Linked DNA regions of Mus musculus: regions 2, 3 and 4 are each reported to be linked to region 1. Evidence: microRNA targets listed by miRTarBase, many of them from high-throughput screens and not tested one by one. Region 1 holds a microRNA gene; each other region holds the end of a gene's coding sequence. Distances are between the middles of the regions.
The links. The annotated mature microRNA mmu-miR-34b-5p reads AGGCAGUGUAAUUAGCUGAUUGU and lies in region 1 at 1,981-2,003, shown strand. An mRNA with a match to its seed (bases 2 to 7 or 8) in the 3' UTR can be bound and repressed. Matches are read on the target gene's strand: a 7mer-m8 pairs with bases 2 to 8, a 7mer-A1 pairs with bases 2 to 7 and ends in A, and an 8mer does both.

Region 2: miRTarBase lists Adgrg1 as a target of mmu-miR-34b-5p. Seed matches in the 3' UTR shown: 8mer at 3,494-3,501.
Region 3: the mRNA of Ppif is a reported target of mmu-miR-34b-5p. Seed matches in the 3' UTR shown: 7mer-m8 at 1,673-1,679.
Region 4: miRTarBase lists Celsr3 as a target of mmu-miR-34b-5p. Seed matches in the 3' UTR shown: 7mer-m8 at 2,187-2,193.

The regions. Positions count from the first base shown.
Region 1 is chr9:51,101,381-51,105,612 of GRCm38, reverse strand. It overlaps Mir34b (microRNA 34b), which reads left to right and starts at 1,968; the gene lies at 1,968-2,051. Hoatz (HOATZ cilia and flagella associated protein) reads left to right here and starts at 3,535. Exons shown (of 6, transcript NM_177702.4): 1 at 3,535-3,868. The coding sequence starts at 3,643. Mir34c (microRNA 34c) reads left to right here and starts at 2,503; the gene lies at 2,503-2,579. It also overlaps a transcript of Btg4 not described here.
Region 2 is chr8:95,012,464-95,016,695 of GRCm38, reverse strand. Adgrg1 (adhesion G protein-coupled receptor G1) reads right to left here. Exons shown (of 14, transcript NM_001198894.1): 14 at 2,488-3,839. The coding sequence ends at 3,709. It overlaps Gm51544 (a long non-coding RNA gene), which reads left to right. Exons shown (of 4, transcript XR_003947440.1): 2 at 649-743; 3 at 944-1,049. Among named protein-coding and RNA genes, the nearest start is that of Adgrg3, 3.1 kb to the left of the region's middle.
Region 3 is chr14:25,698,628-25,702,859 of GRCm38, forward strand. Ppif (peptidylprolyl isomerase F (cyclophilin F)) reads left to right here. Exons shown (of 6, transcript NM_134084.1): 6 at 840-1,841. The coding sequence ends at 975. It overlaps Ppifos (peptidylprolyl isomerase F, opposite strand), which reads right to left and starts at 2,655. Exons shown (of 3, transcript NR_028021.1): 1 at 2,418-2,655.
Region 4 is chr9:108,850,552-108,854,783 of GRCm38, forward strand. Celsr3 (cadherin, EGF LAG seven-pass G-type receptor 3) reads left to right here. Exons shown (of 36, transcript NM_001359572.1): 36 at 750-2,418. The coding sequence ends at 777. It overlaps Slc26a6 (solute carrier family 26, member 6), which reads left to right and starts at 3,492. Exons shown (of 20, transcript NM_134420.4): 1 at 3,492-4,232.

The DNA.
Region 1 (4,232 bases):
TAAATGATTTTTTAATGATGTCCTCCTAAAACTTGTAACTCTTCATAGTGTTTATGGGATGGAGGCTATTTCTACTACTTTTATTTATATTTGAACGTTTAAATGACCTTTTGTAGGATACATTATACTTTTCTCAAATACAAGAAGACTGAATACAAGATAGTTATTTACAAATGTCTTTCATAAGTTAATTTTATAATAATCTGGCATTTTCTACTTCATTTTCCTTTCACTTAAGCCTTCATAAAACAATGACTCTGAAGGAAAAAAACATTGTCTTTTACTTTCAAAGATAATGTTAAAATATACACAAGTTTATTCTTGGGAAGTTCTTGGGTTTTAATGGTTTCCACTTGGAATTTGTGTTGAATGTTCCTGATGATTGGCATATATTCATGTAATTAGTGGCATCTACAAGACCATTTGCTGGGCTTACAGGTATCAGTGTATAGCTAAGAAATGTCCCTTTGTAGACTGCAAGACTGTTGGATCAATACAAATGGGTGTCATACAGCATACAGGAAGACCACAGTCTGGGACGGCTACTTCCTACTGAATTCCACAAAGTTTGCAATCAGAGAATACTGTATATCCTCTCTGGGCTCAATTAATTAAAGGAAAGGAGAGGAAAGACTAAAGGAAAGAAATATTAGTGAAGATGGCGCAGAAATGCTGTCCCCTCAGCGCCTCCTATTCCCAATATACACAAACACGCACCCCGTTATCAGATATAAAATAGCAAAAACAAGGGGAATGTAACTGACAGAAGATATGGCTTCTCGGGCTTCTACAGACCTCATCCTTAATGTCCAAATCTACCCTTGCTTCAAGGATCTACCTGAACTCTCACCTCCTCCATGATGGTGTCTGTCAGCTCTTGTTGGCACACCTCCCACCCCCACCCATACCTGTTTTTTTCTATTAGGAAAATCTATCAGTTTAGCAACTTTATACTGTCTGGAGTAATAAATAATGTGTTCACATTTTGTTACCACCTAGACTGTCTGATGGGTAGTAAGACAAACGCCTGTTAGGTGCTGGATTTGTAACATTTAAATAAAACAGGAGCCCAAAGTGAGACTAGATATCCTCAAGGCTCACGGGGAGATCATCAAAACTGTGTCTTTGATCTTATAAGGGCCACAACTTTGACCTACCAACAAGGGTGTTGGTTCAATGTTTGACCAGAAGAGTGGCCCACACTTCACTGTATGGCCCTGTAAGAGGTAGTCCTAAGAAAGAACTTGGGTACAGGCAAGGGCAATCCTGCAGGTATGAGTGCCCAGGCCTGCTCAGGCAGGAAGGCTCCAGATGAGACGCCTGGGAAGCGGTTTCTGAGAATGGGCATATGAACAGTGAGGAGGCCTGGGGCTTCTTGGGCAATATATTGGGAAGGAGAGATGGATGTAGGTCTCTGCGCTTCTTTCTTCGATGTAGCAGTAACTACACTGTGAAGATAAACTTCTCAAGAATCTGTCTCTCCATCTCCCCGGCCCCTTCCCAGGAGGCTCTGCAGGAGCCCTCCCATTGCCCCTTCTGGTAGCTTCTGCCACCCCTCCCCCACTCGCCCCGCCCCCTCGGCCTCGGGGTTCCAAGGGCGGTTGGTCGCTGAGCCACGGTCACTCGGCCAGTAGGAGCTGCGGGGCGCGCGGGCTGGACAGAACCGGCTCTAGACTTGGGTCTGGAAGCCGTGAAGAAGTTGTTGGAGGCGGGTCAGACCCGGCTTGCGGGAAGAAGGACTCGGGCCGGATGCCCTGGGGTCCGGGCTGAGTCGGGGGTCTCGGGGGGGACGGCGGGGACAGGGGGCCTCAGCGCCTGGGGGTTCACCTGGGGTCGCGCGCGGCCCTGCTGGGTGTGGAGGGGCCTCGGGAGCCTGAGGCACCTCTCGCTCCGCCGCCCTCGCCTGTCGACCGTGGCGAAAGGGGGCGAGGGGCCCGACCCTCGGGAGCTGCAGTGGCGGGCGCCCGGTGCTCGGTTTGTAGGCAGTGTAATTAGCTGATTGTAGTGCGGTGCTGACAATCACTAACTCCACTGCCATCAAAACAAGGCACAGCATCACCCGCCGCCCGCGGGAGGAGAAGCCAGCGCTGCAGCCCCACTGACTCCGCAGAAAGCCGAGGCCGGAGCCAGGATGCGTCAGCAAAGGGCCGGGAGCACGAGGTCTAAGTGCAAGTAACCCTCGGAGACCGGCGGCCTCCTTTAGGGACCGTTCGGCTACCTGTGTGTAAGAGCCAGAGCAAAAACGGTTCAGTGATGTGTAAAGAGAATCGGTATACACCGGCCTTAACATAAAAAAAAAAAAAAAAAAAAAGGCCAGGAAGAGCCCCCCCCCCCCCCCCCCCAGAACAGTTCCTGCTGCTGCTGTGATTCACTGCCTGATTTCCACTTCTGAGAAAGCTATCACCAAGGCAGCGACTAGAGTCAACCACAGCTTGGCTGACGATTTGCTCTGGTCACACCAAAGTCTGAGAGCACCAGCTAAAGACTGCATGCTTTTTTCTGAGTCTAGTTACTAGGCAGTGTAGTTAGCTGATTGCTAATAGTACCAATCACTAACCACACAGCCAGGTAAAAAGACTGAAATTCCTCCGACTGAGCCTCCTGTGAATCGTCATTTTGGTGAGGACAGAGCCATAGGGAAATATTCTTACCATACTATTAGTGGTTTGGGGGGGGGGGGGGAACCGCTAGCCCTTAGCTGCTAAGTATACAATGTATCAATTTGTGTGGGGTACATTTTTTGTGATTTTTAGATATATTGGAAAAATAGAAATTATCCCTTAGCTGATTTGGTCATTATATTGACTTGTGATTATAAATCTTTGGACTTTGCCTGACATATTAATAACACTCTAAAAAATAAAGCGCCACGAAAATCTCAGCAATCGTGTTCATTTCCTTTCCAAAAACTGGCTTTAGGATCTCCATTTCAGCTCCTGTCAACCCCGTAAAGTCATTAAATGGTTAGTTGCTATACAGACAAAATCTCCAGGGAAACGTCTCACACATGATTGTGACCTGGAAGGGAACGTTAAATGTTTTCATAATTTTCCATGGGGCAAGGGAACTCAGCCCACTTAACCAGGTATATTTTTTAAGGTATTAACAGTTGCGTTCTAGGCAACTTTTCGTGGGAATAATTAGTGAACACGATTTAAAACCAGCTGGTTTCCTAATATCTGTAATAAAAGATTTGAGAGGTTTTAAATCACACAAGCTGTATCCACCGGTACTTCTCGGCCCAGTTCTAGATTAGCGCTTTATGCAGATGTATCAATGCAAACCTGAGAATTTCCCCAGAGGTAAGAGTGCGAAGCCTTGGCAATCTTGTCCAAAAGAGGAAGGCGCTCTTTAAAGCTCACATTATTGGGCTATCTGGGGGAGGAGGAGACGCTGGCTGAGGATCTAAGAGACAGTCCAGGACTGTACACATCACAAAGTTGAGGCTTTTACTCTTAAGGCTTGACTGGCCCCGAAAATTGTGACCTCGACAGAAGCCAGCTGCTGATGGGCCACAAGCCCTCGAGGAACCCCAGATCTACGGAAGAAGAAACACAGGCATTCCGGTGGTGGCAGTTACCAACAGGACGGTTCTCCGGTAGGGGCGGGACGCCAGAGCTAAGGAAAGCGTCCTGAGTCACCATGGAAACGGGGCCCAGAGGCTGTCCTAGCGGCAGGAAGGAATCCCAGGAAATCTGCTCCCCTGGATTACTGGTGTTCACCGGCTGCTCTGAGCAGGATGCCAATTTGGCTAAGCAGTTTTGGCTCGGGGCGTCCATGTACCCCACTACCGAATCTCAGCTCGTGCTGACCCGAGGCAGCAGTCAGAGGCTACCGGTGGCGCGGAACTCTAAAGTCGTTCTGAGAGGTGAGTAGCAAGGCTACCTCCTGGAAGGGGAAACTGCCTGGTCTAATTGTCAGTCAATTGAGAAGTACAAACAAGCAGAAACAGGCAGTAATAGGTATATGCAAATACACAAACAATTCTAAAACTGCTGCAATTCTCCACTGTAAAGGATCTCATTGTTACATATAAATTCATTCTAGAGCTGGAGAAATGGCTCAGCAGTTAAGAGCACTGACTGCTTTCCAGAGGTCCTGAGTTCAATTCCCAGCAACCACATGGTGGCTCACAACCGTCTGTAATGGGACCTGATGCCCTCTTCTGGTGTGTCTGAAGACAGCTACAGTGTACTCACATAAATAAAATGAAAATCTTAAAAAAAAAAAAA
Region 2 (4,232 bases), not on the chromosome of region 1:
GGCTCATACACACATGCACACAAACACACATATACACATACACACAAACACACATACACACAAACACACATACACACACACATACACACAAACACACATATATACACACAAACACACATACACCCAAACACACATACACACAACCACACATATACACATACACACACGCATACACACATATACACACAAACACACATACACACATGCACATGCCTGGGGAAGAGGTGGAGCCTACCAGTCGGCTGACCCCAAGAAAGTCATGGAGAAGGCCAGGCCCTTGGTTGTCCACAGCTACTCAGATGGGTAAAAGAGCCTCAATACCGTCACCTGTTACCGACACCCCCTTAGGACTGAGCTAGCTCTGCTCTTTCTGGGGAGCTGTCCAGTTATAACCATCATCTGTCTCTCCTTCCTTTCACATGGTCCCCTGCTGGGCCCTTTGGATCTGAGGGGGTGTGGGAAGGGATACAGGTCACTCTTGCTCTGTAGAAGGTGGGGGTGGGGACGGATAGAGCCTGGAGTCCCAGGTCAGAATCCAGAAGTTCCTGTGTCCCTGAGCTTCCTCTGACAGGAAGATGGGAGCCACTGGGCCTGCTCTGCCCTGAGTCAGCCTCCCCTAATTGCTTGTGGCGTCTCTCCCAACCTCAGGCAAGGATGTCGTGACACGGTGGTTCCTGATATGCTGGGTTGTGTCTCATATGGCTCCATGGGTCTCATGGATACATGAGAGAGAAAAAAAAAAGGTTGGTGACCTGCAGGCAGAAGCATAGTGCCCAGTGTCCCTGGGAGGTAGAGAGGTGGGAGAGCCAGGCCCTGCAGAGCTTCTAGAAGGACCCAGTGAGACTAGCTAGGTACTAGCCTGAGATCCTTTGCAGAGCCCTGGGCCCCCACATTTCAGGACTAACATAACAGTCATGTCCCATCCTATCTCCTGTCACCGCAGCTTATTCCAAGGTCTCAAGCCCTTTGCCAGGCCAGCCGGTATCACCTGACTGTATCCAGATCAGAAACGTGTCTTTAGAGACTCTCTTGCTTGCCTTAATGGGAAGGTAAGTGTGTTGTCTACCGATCCTCAGCCTAGAAAGAACTACTCGGGCCAAAGAAGACTCAGAGATATCAGGGGTCCCATCTCCTTCTCTGAGCCAGCCTCAGAACCAGAGGTTAGGAAAGAAGAAATTGGGGTGGAGGCTTTCTTCCTGTGAGAGGAGGGGGGATGTCAGGCCAGGACACGCAGCAGAGGGGCTCGGGAAAGTCTGGTTCTTTCCGCAGGGGGAGGAACATAAGGACTCCAAAGTAAGGTGGGCATGGTGGTCCATGCCTTTAATCCCAGCAATTAAAAGGCAGAGGTAGGTAGGTAGGTAGAGACCAGCCTGGTCTATACAGTGAGTTCCAGACAGGCAGGGATACAGAGAAACCCTGCCCCCCCCTTCCAAAAAAAAAAAAAAAAGCAATCAAGCACACAAACAAAAGAACTCCAAAGTAAAAGCAGAGGCCACCAGAGTTGTGGAGGAAGATGGAGAGAGACATGGGGCTTCCACGGGCCAAAGTCCAGACAGGTCTCAAATCTGTCACATCTGTGCCATGCTGTGGGAACTGCTGGTATACCTAGAACTGCCAAGGCAGTGTTCCACTCACCCTGTCAAGCCCCAGAGTACCCCCACCTTCCCCTGGCACAGCAGGGGCTGAGGGTGGGAGCTGGGGTGGGGCTGTGGACCTGGGCGAATCTCAGACTTCGAATAAAGGGGACTTAGCTTCCTCTCCTCACTCCTTGAGAGGCTCACTATACAGCCCAGGCTGGTCTTGAACTCTCAATCTCCTGCCTCAGCATCTCAAGTGCTGGGACTGCAGGTACCACCACACCCTGCTTTTTATACCTCTTTGTACTTGAACTCAGATGGGGACAATCACATATAACCCAAGGGAGACAGACACCTGGGACATGTCTAACCTGTGCCACATAAGTGGGAGAAGGGACTTGAGGAGCAGGCTAGACGCTGGGAGAAAACCTGAGTCATTTCTCACAGCCCAGCTGCTCCAGACTGATGGCCAAACTGTTCCTTGGATCACCTGACTAGTTAAAATCTGAACTCAGCTCTCAAGAGTGACCTCTTTGGCTACGGAAGGTTTTGTATATGCCAACATTGTAAGATCAATGGCTTTGATGAACCAGTCTGGTTTCCCCATGAAAGGCAACTGATGTGGCTACCCAGGTCTCCCTCCACGCCAGCAATGGCCATCTGCAGCAGATGGTCAGGATCTCCGGGTTATTCTTGACGGGCCTCTGCCCGGCACCACCCGAGGAGGTACCAGTGGGCCATTTCTCTTGTTCTCCTGAGAAAGTGTCCTCAGATGCCTTCTTTGTCACATTTCCCTCTTGGCCATTTCCTGATCATCCCCAAGACTCCTGAATCAGCAACACTAGTAACAGAAGTGGGAGGAAAAAAAAACAAAAAAACAAAGACAAACCCAAACAAAACTGAGACGGGCAACTCTCCAAACTGTGCTGCTTTGCCATGGCATTAGATAACAGCTCATTTTTATTTCTCTTCTCGACAATCGCCTACAGTTTCCAGACTCTCTATAAAGAGCTTTAATATCAAAAGACAAATGAACTGGTATTTAAAAAGAACATTCTCCCCAACCTGAAGGCTGAGGTCAAGATGAAATGCTGCCTTTTGCAGGAAGTCCTCCTGGATTTCCAGCCCCCTGCCTGACACTCCAGGACTTGGTGAGAGCTTTTGCGGGGGTGGGGGTGAGGAGCTGCTCACTGTACGTTAGTAGGACAGAATTCACACTAGGCAGCCCAGTGTCTTCTGAGCGACCTGCAGGGATCTGAAGACCACTTCTTAGGAAAAAGATCAAGCTTGGCCAGTGTCACCAGAGGGGGCTGTCTTGGTCTTCAGAGTGCTGGGTTGAAAGGGTGGCTGTATCCCAGTACTTGCCAGAGGGAGGAGGCTTCAGGAGAGATGGAGGTCCCTCTGAGGTGCGAGCAAAGGTGAGGCAGCTTGGAGAGAGGGCTCAGACAGAAACCTGCCCTGAGTCAGAGGCCAAAGCCCACACAACAGACAGAAGTTGATAGCTGGCACCAGGAAACTGCTGGGAACTACCACCCCAAATCACAGCATTGGTCTAGGACCCCAGGCTTCAGGTGGAGGGTTAGGGGAACACAGAGGAGGGGTTGGGGATGGGGAATGAAGAGGAGGGTTTGCAGAAAGGCTGGGGGAGATGCTCAGCTCCTAAGGTGCTCTGCCTCCAAACCTTCTCCCAGAACATTTACCCCCAGTGCCACCCTCGGGATCTGCATGGTGACCACAGAGACAGAGCAGCAAGTCAAGACAGTTAGCTGTGTCTCAGGCCGGATGTGTCAGCCTCCTTCGAGATCTAACCCCAGCTTGGGTCTGCAGGTCTCAACACCCAGCAGCAACAGCTGGACCCAGAGGTGGCCAGAAAGACAAGGCCTTAGCTCCAGACTGAAACGGCCCCACAAACAGAATGGCAGTGTGCTTCTGAGCCCTTTGAGGACCAGAGTCGTCCCCAAGGCAAGCTAGGTATCTACCTACCAGAGCAACAGCCCTACGCCTTCAAGGACCAGGGCCTTCTCTAGTATGCCACTAACCAACAAAGGCTGGGTGGGCACAGCACTGGGCCACAGACATCGTGAGCGGACGCCATGCATGTGTCCTCCCGGAGGGGAGGTGTGGCGGTGGCTTAGATGCGGCTGGAGGAGGTGCTGCCGGAGCTGATGGGGAGTTTGGCGCTGTCTGAGTTGTTCTTCAGAGGGGAGGGGCCGCCTTGGGCCTGGAACCGCATGGACCAGTACCACAGGAAGATGAGGAAGCCTGTGGGCAGTGAGGCACATGGGTTATCAGATGGCAAGATCCCGTCTGGCTCTGTTCCCCTCTCAGAGTCCCTCTGCTCCAAGGGGTGGAGGGGGTGGGGGCGGCGGCGTCCAGTCATATACTCAGGGCTCTGGAGCCACTCGGAATGACTCAGTACACTGTGGCATATCAGGGGGTTGGTGTTGGCCTCGGTTCACATGCCTCACAGGGGACAAGATGAAATGCCTAACCACAAGATTTTAGAGCGTATCCCCTCATTCCATTCCACCCCACGGTGACTCCGTTGGCTCTGACGTGACTACACGGGCCCTGTTCAGTCAGCATAGCCAAATACAGAGGTGGAGAGGCCGTTGTGTTGCGAGGCACAGACTAGAAGGATGTGGGCCCTGCTGG
Region 3 (4,232 bases), not on the chromosome of region 1:
CCACTTTGCCTGGCTTACCCTGATGTTTCCTTGGCTTGCCTCTGCTATAGAATGTGCTTATGGAATCATGGGTTGTGAGGAATAGTTTCCTCACACACTGTTAGCATGGCCGCACATGGCTCCCAGACCTCCCAGCTTCCTTTCCCACAGTCCTATGCTGTCTAAGAATGCCTTTTCCCTGGTAAAACTTCCACCAAGCAACACCTTTCTCTGCATAGAGTTCTGAGTATCCCAGGCCTCAGGTCCCAGGAGGTCAGAGGCAACAGCTGACTGAGAAGTTTAGAAAACCTGTGTTCACAACTTTAAGGAAATCTAAGCGATGGGATGACAGCCACACAGGGCTGTCAGGGTCGGGCATGTTGGTGCCAGCCCCATCTTCTTTGCTCCTTCCATGGAAGCCTTGATGGGCCTTAAAGCTCTGCCCCAGGCTGTCCTTATTCTCAGCTGTGCTGGAGCTGAGCTAAGTCCCTGTTCTGTTCTTGGAACTCACAGATCATGAGCTACTCAACACCTCCAGGCTTCTCACACTTATTTGGTGCTCAGTTTGCCATAGTCTGTTGTGCAGATGTCTTGCTTTTTTGAGTGCTGCAATGCCCATCATTTTCCTGGGCAGAATGAGAACAACCTACTTCTCATAAGTAAGGTCACCAAAAGTCAGATCAGGCTGCCGGACAAAGCCCAGGGTGACAGAACTGGGAGCCTGGAATCCAGTGGAATGCAGCTGAAGAGCTCACAAGCGGTAACTAGGCTTTCAGGGTAGTGGTGTTCCTTTGGCAAACAACTCTGCCGAGTGGCCAGGATGCTGGGTGTTTTCTTACTTGGCTCAACCCTCCCCACAGGCTAGATGGCAAGCATGTCGTGTTCGGCCATGTCAAAGAGGGCATGGATGTTGTGAAGAAAATAGAATCTTTCGGCTCAAAAAGTGGGAAGACGTCTAAGAAGATTGTCATCACAGACTGTGGCCAGTTGAGCTAACTCACAGCCAAGGTGCTAGGACAGCAGCAGGCATCCATGTCTTGATTCACCCAGGTTCTCCAAAGAACAGTTTGCACCCACTTCTATTGAGTCTGAGGAAGGCCACTCAGGCATGGTCCTCCCAGACCAGGCTGCTCTCCACTGTCCATCCTGCCTCAGATCCCGTTTCTGGGCATCAGTATGGCCATCGGGCCATGTACCCTCAGCCGATGTCCCCGTGATTGCCATGTGCGTGTGCCTTGGACATTGGCAATGCTGACCAGTTAGTCAGGGAAGGCTCCTGACTCTTTTCCTTGATCAGTGGGGATAGCAGTTGCTATTTAATGTTGTCTTCCTCCTTGCAATAATTTAACATAGAATTCAAGATCTCATCGAAACAAAGCTGTGACACTCATGGCACTGTCCGTGTGTGACCTGTGTTGCTGTGACACTCACGGCACTGTCCATGTGTGACCTGAGTTGGCACAAGCCACAGACACCCCCAACCCCCCCACCTCCCAGCCTGGCTTCTGAGACATCACTCAGGGCTCTTGTGAAAGTCCCAGCGTCAATGCCTTCCCTCCTGGTCACTGTGAATCCTGCTGGCTGCTGCTGTGATTTTTGAAAGCCTGTGAAATAGAAGCAGCAGGACCTGGGAACAGACCTGTGAGCCCGGTCTTTCTGCTCAATGTGAATTCCCGTGGTGAAAACTTACAGACACTGCCTGACCTCATGCTGTTCTCAAGAGGGAAGTGTCTTCTGGCAGGCTTTGCTTTTTCTGTATGTTGAATAAATCCAATCTATCAATAATATATATGTAAAAGATTTCTGGGACAGTCCTGTGTGTTCATCTCAAATGTGATAAATAAATCCTATTTTCTATAAAATGGCTGTCTCTGGTTTTGGAATGAAATTTACATCTTTGGGGCTCATTTGTTTTTGTGACAGGGTCTTGCTGTGTGGTCCAGGGTCTTGCTGTATAGCCTTTGGCTAGCTTCAAACACTCTTGACCTTCCTCAATGCTGTTGGGATTACAGGCATGGAACATTGACTCCAGCTGGGGCCAGTCTTGGAGTTACTATGTGTTAGGTTCTATGCTTTGAACTGTTTTTTGTTTGTTTTGTTGTTTTATGATGCTAGGGCCTTTGTGCACACAAGCCACGTCCTCAGCCTTATTGTAAGGAAATCCGTGTAGAACATTCTGTGTCCTAACCCCAAGTACTAGCTCAGAAGCCACTGAGAACATCCTTGCTACCATCTGTCCTGTAGGATGGTCCAGACAGTCCCCACCGTGAGCACTACCTCTAGGTGAAGTCCCAGCTATGCTTAGTGATTGAGCTTCAGTTTCTCTCAGCTACATAATGTGTACATGACATCTAGGTCTGGAATTGGGTGTGACCCATGTGAGGTGCATGGTCTTGGGCCAGATGTATCATCACAGCAATCTCTGGGTAGTGACTTACAAGAGGGTGACATTTCCCGTGTGTCAGAGATCCTTAGGAAAGGGGGCTGAGATCACCAAAGGTTAGAGGTGGGTTTCCCTTTTCTCATGCTGGGTCACTGAAATGTGGAATTCTTCATTGCTGAATTCTCAGGGAAGACAGGACTGGGGCAAGCACATGACTAAGAGTTTCCTTAGGTGGGTAGGGACATAGCATAGCTCATGGAGAAGGGATGTGGGCTCTGGCTGCGGTGAGTATTGCATTCATGCCATATAGAATTCCTGAATCAGGTGATGTCAGGTTAGAGGTAGGCGTGGTCATTCTGACATCATAGAGGTTATGCTGAGTCTTCAGAGTCTTGGAGTTTCCATGAAGTCAGAGCTCAGCTCCTTGGGTTGAGAGTTTGGTTGGAGTAGTAGTTAAAGCCATTTTGGGAGCAGCCAGCATCCTCAGAACAGCTGGCTGTGATGGTGTGGACCCTGAGCAGGCATTCTGTGCCTGTGTCCACGAGCCTCTGCAGTCCTTTATACAGTGGGGCTGCCGAGGGACTTCATTTGAGACGCAGATCTCGCCTACTAATAACTGATAATGTCTCATGCAGCACAACAGCTTACAGGTGAGAAGATGAGGCTACAGGCTGGCTTGTGATTAATCTAGACAATATGTCAAGCAGTTGGCAAAGGACAGACCTCTTGAGCTCTTGGTGGTACAGAAAGTACACACGGGCTTCTTAGGATCATTACCTAAAATCTTGAGGTCACACAGGTACTTTACCACTGACCTGTGACCCCAAACCCTCCCCTTTTTGTTTAGTTGTAGGCTAGGTCTACATTGTCCACGGTGGCCTTGAAGTTACTCTATGGCCCAGGCCAACTTAAAACTTGTGACTCTTTTTGCCTTGGTCCTTTGAATAGCTTTGATTATAGGCTTATCCCCAGCCACTTTAAAAGTATTTTAGGAACATTATTTATTTACTCACTTTAAAATTTGTGTATTTCTGGTACAGGTCAAAGATGTGTTGTTGTTGTTTTTGGAGTTGCCTGCTGACCTGGGGTACTCCAGGCACCCAGGACAAGTCAAAGGGAAAGCCATCCCTCCTTGAGCTGTGACCTGCCTCCTGTCAATTTCAGAGGGGTCCAGAGTTAGAAGTGGGAGGGCTTGTGTTTCCTGAGGATGTGTGTGTTCTGTCTCCATCCAGTGGAATCTAGGGGTACAGCAAGCATGTAAGAATTTTTCTGAAAACCACTCCCTAAAGGCAGAGGCAAGGTCATCCTCTGCAGCTCTCAGAGGCCCAAGCCAGGTTTTGGGGTTTTGTTTGTTTGTTTGTTTGTTTGTTTGCTTTGTTTTTTCCAGACAGGGTTTCTCTGTATAGCCCTGGCTGTCCTGGAGCTCACTTTGTAGACCAGGCTGGTTTTTATGTGAAGCATCTTTTAAAGTAACACAGGAAATCCTGGCTTGTTGCTTGCCAGTAAGTCCTCAGTACCTAATGTGTGCATACATACATCGGTAGCCCTCAGTACCTAATGTGTGCATACATACATCGGTAGCCCTCAGTACCTAATGTGTGCATACATACATCGGTAGCCCTCAGTACCTAATGTGTGCATACATACATTGGTAGCCCTCAGTACCTAATGTGTGCATACATACATCGGTAGCCCTCAGTACCTAACGTGTGCACCAAGTGTTGAACCTGTATATGCTTTCTAGATGGCATAAGATGTGATACCTTATGCTTTCAAAAACCAAAACATCAAATTTCTGAGATGCTTGGTAGCTTTTCAGAATGATTTCACTGAGATAAAAATTTACATATAGTAAAATTCACACATTTTA
Region 4 (4,232 bases), 58 Mb from region 1:
TTCTTCTTCTTCTTCTTCTTCTTCTTCTTCCTCTTCTTCCTCTTCCTCTTCTTCCTCTTCCTCTCCTCCTCCTTCTTCTTCTTCTTCTTCTTCTCTCTCTCTCTCTCTCTCTCTCTCTCTCTCTCTCTGAAACTGCCAGGACAAGTTCTGGGCTCTCTTCAGGATGAGAGACAGCTGTAAGGAAAATGGGTCTCTGGGGATGGGGCAAGGGGACCCAGAGGATCGAGCAAAGACCCCAGCGTTGAGAGAGGCCATAAAGGAGGGAGGGGCAGGGCCTTGGGAGCCTGGAGGTCCTGAGGGCTGCTGAAAGGTAATTAGGAGACAGTCCCCTACAGTCTGTCAAGCCTTGGGGTTTGAGTGCCAGGCAACTGAGGAAGGATTCAGGCCTTAGAATCACAAGAGTTTGAGTTTGAGTTCTGTCTCTCCTCTGCCATGACCTTGGCACAGTACAAGCTGTACACTCATCTCCTCTGTTGAGGGAGTTTAGAGAAATGAACTCCTTGAGATGTGGAGATTTGTCACATTATCTGCCTTACTGGATGCTGAATTTAGTATCTGAACATAGACAGTGTCCTGCTGAGCACTGAGAGACTGAGGCAGCCAAGTAGCCTTGCTAATGAGTCTAGGGTCCTGATGGGTGTGTGGAGGGAGGGCTCAGAGTCCTGGGGTAGGCATGAAGGTGCTGAGGGCTGAGAGGCAAGGTCCCTCCTCTGAACCATGGCTTTCCACTTCTACATTCAACTCCACAGAGTTCCCAGAAGCGAGGGTCACTCCTGAGGGGCTGACCAGCGAATGAGGAGCCACCAGGGGTTGCAGAGGATTTGGGCTGACTGAAGAGCCTTCAGGACTGATCGCAAGGCAGCCTTCTTCAAGCCCTCCCCTCAGTTCAGTGCAGAAGGAAGGTCCCTCCTGTGTGCGTCTGTGAGCATGTGTGTGACAGGTGCAGGGGTGGGGGCTGAGGGAGGACTTTTATACATTTTTGTACCTTTGTAACCAGAGAGATATGCTTATGTTATTTTTCAGCTTTTCTGTCTCCCAGGGGTCTCGAGACTGGGCTAGGAGGGGGAAGGGGATGGGAGAGAGACACTCCACTGGGCGCTTAGCTAAGCGTCTGCTCTTTCATTTCATCTTACAGCAGAGTGAATGAGTCAGGCCCCACCTGCTCTTTCCCCTTCTCTTCCCCACATTGATCTGAACGTTGTTGTTGGGGCCCAGGGTGCAAATTTGATCTTTGCATTTTCTCCGATGCCCCTAGGCCAAACTCCTGTTGGGGGGGGGGATTGGTCTTGGAAACAGGGGTTCCTCCATCCTCCTCCTGAGGGCTCACGTGCTCCACTCCTCCCTGTGGGTGTGGATATGTATTACATGGAGTCCCTGCCGCTTACTGCCTTAAGACCTAGGACTGATGCTGCAGGTGCTGGTGGAGCAGCAGAAGTCATGTTTACAGATCAAGGCTTCCCTTTCTCCCTTAGGGAGGGACTTGGGCCTCTAATCAGACATTCCTAGGGGGGTGGGTGGAGGGGAAACTCCTTTGTCCCTCCTTCACTTGTCTGTGGTGCCATTGGTTCATTACACTGTCCCCTTGAGGGATGAGGGGGGCAGTGAGCAAAGGGAGCAGAAACAAGGGAACCCAAGACCCAGAATGTAGGTAGGTGCCACCGCCTCTCACTGCTTACAGGATCCTCCCTGGCACCAGGCTGCAGCAGTGGCTGCCCCACCTTCTGTTGGTCCCTTATAAAGGGACAGGTAACTGTTAGGATCCTGCTCACAAAACTCTCTTGTTAGTTGTCTGATGTCCAGTGCTGGGGACTTTACATTTTTGTTACTTTGTTTACAGATCAAGATTATTTTTTTAACATGGTTGGGTTTTATTTATTGTTTACAGCTTCAACCATTGAACTTACACACTTTGTTTTATAGTTCAGAATGTTTCCCCCTCTTTGTTTACAAGTGAAAGGTAGAAAAAGTGGGGGAGGGGCCTAAAAGACCCACCTGCGATGCCCCTGGACCTGGCCATCTTGAGGTAGGCTTCTAATCCCAACTTTTCCCAGGTCAAAGGTCAGCTGAGTCTTCTAACAGCTTGCCCCGAAAGTGGCTCAGGACCGGGGTTCTGTGCAGCCGCCACCCACCCCTACCCTGTGTTTACTCTTGGGAGGCAGTTTCTGAGATTCAAAAAAATCCCACTTCACTGCCTGTGCCAAATCCCACCAGCCAGGTCCCCAGCTCTCTTTACCCAGACTGACCCCTGCCCTTGAAGGGCTGAGAGGCCTGTCGGTTGGGAGAGTGTCCTTGCTATGTCCTAGGTTCTGTAGATGCCCGTCTCTGGGGTCCCCTTCCAACAGTGGCCCTCTTTCCTGTCTGTGTAAATTGTTCCGTGAAGCCGCGCTCTGTTTTGGGAATAAACTTCTATAGAAAACACTTGTTCCTCTTTCTGTCTCAGCTGTTGAGAATACTCACCCAGGATGACCTTTGTAGGACTCTGAGCTCTCCTCCCTCCAAAATAGCCAGTTATTTTTAGCCCATTTCATGGGAGATTTGGACCAGGTTCCCATTTCTTTCTGAAATATGGCCTCTCACCTTGTGACTGGAGCCTGAAGTTGGAGCGCAGGAGCTGCGCCAAGAGAAGCCACTTTCCTGGTCTAGGCAGTCATATGAGGGTTTCCTTAATATCCAGAGGCTGACATTTGTGGCCCTGCCCATTAGTCACCCCAAACCTAGGCGTTCCCACTTCAGTTCCTGCTTACCCACCCACACTCTGGCCCTTACTGGTCTTTTCTCACTTGGATCAGGCCAGAGCTTCCAGACCTGGAAAGGATCCTGAGTGCTCCATTTCCAGTCTAGGCAGCCAGGTGTGAAAGTGAAAGGGGGGGGGGGGGCTTAAGAAGCCACCCATGGTGACAAATACCTTTGATCTCTTCTTTAATCCCAGCACTCACTAGGCAGAGGCAGGTGGATCTCTGTAGACAAGTCTGGTCTACAGAGAGTTCCAGGACAGCCAAGGCTAAACAGAGAAAACTTGTCTGGAAAAAAAGAAATGGAGGTGGGGTGGGGCTGGTCTTGAGGACCACTGTGCCAGGTCTCAGAAGGAAAAATCTGAGGGTGATACTCACAGCTTGGTGGTCCCTGAGAGACCCTACAGGCCTAGATCTCCCACAGTTGAGGCTGGGGCCCCTGGTTGCACACCTAGGCATCCAGATCGGTCAAGAATGTCTCCTCTGCATAAAGTGGGGACCTTCTACAAAGCATACAATTAGGTCCAGCCACTTAAGGGCACAGAGGCATAACATTGGCCAAGCGTAGCGCTGGGCCTTCGTTCCAGTCCTCCAGTCTCAGCAGAATGCTCCAGCTCCCAGCAGGTTAACAAGAATCGCAGGCAGGGACAGAAGCTAGGCCGACGGGAAGGAAAGGGTTAAAATTTTATTCTCCGGGCTCGCCCCGCCCAGAGAGTATGACTTGGATTCCACCCCCAGAATTCTGATTGGTCTGATCTTGCACATCCTAGCGGTGGAGCTTGCGGCCGGCCAAGTTCTGGGCCTGGCGCCACCTTCTAGCCGGTAGTGGCCTCCTGGGGGAGCTGTTTGAAAAGCGGTACACGAGTTACCCTCTGAGGGCCATGGGACTTCCCGATGGGTCCGGTGAGTTGCAGGGCGCTGCCCAAATTCCGCGTGCCCGCGAAGCGCTAGTAGTTCTGTGACTCCCGGCCTGGGTCAATTCAGGAAGGGAACCTCCAAGTCCCCGACAGGCATTTCCCGTCTGCGGAGCCTTAGTTTACCGCCTTGCCGATTTTCCGAAGGAGGTTATCCATCAACAGCGAGGGATGGGGGCGGGCTCTGGCGCGACCCCAGCTCTTGAGGGTTGTACTGAACGTCCCTGGAGTGCTAATAAGGGCGCTGCAGGGAAGTTGCTGCTTACCGAGGAGTCCTGGCACGGGAGGTGTGCCAGCTGGGCGCGTTGGGACTGGGAGAGAAACCGCTGCAAGACAGGCTCTAGCCAGGCGGTGGACCAGCCGCGGCCTGAGTCGGCAGGGTACTGTTCACATTTGTCGCTGCCGGCCCTTGTGCCCTCCCAAAGGGAGGTGCCAAGCATCAAGGCTCCGCCCTCCAAGGCGCGTGCCGCCTGGTAAGGGGAGGGAGCCCTTTAAGAAGACTTGAGAGATCTTGAAGGAGGGGAGAGGGGCCGCTGAGATCTCCTGGAGCCCGCGGTGCAGAGAATCTCTGAAGATCTTCCTTGCG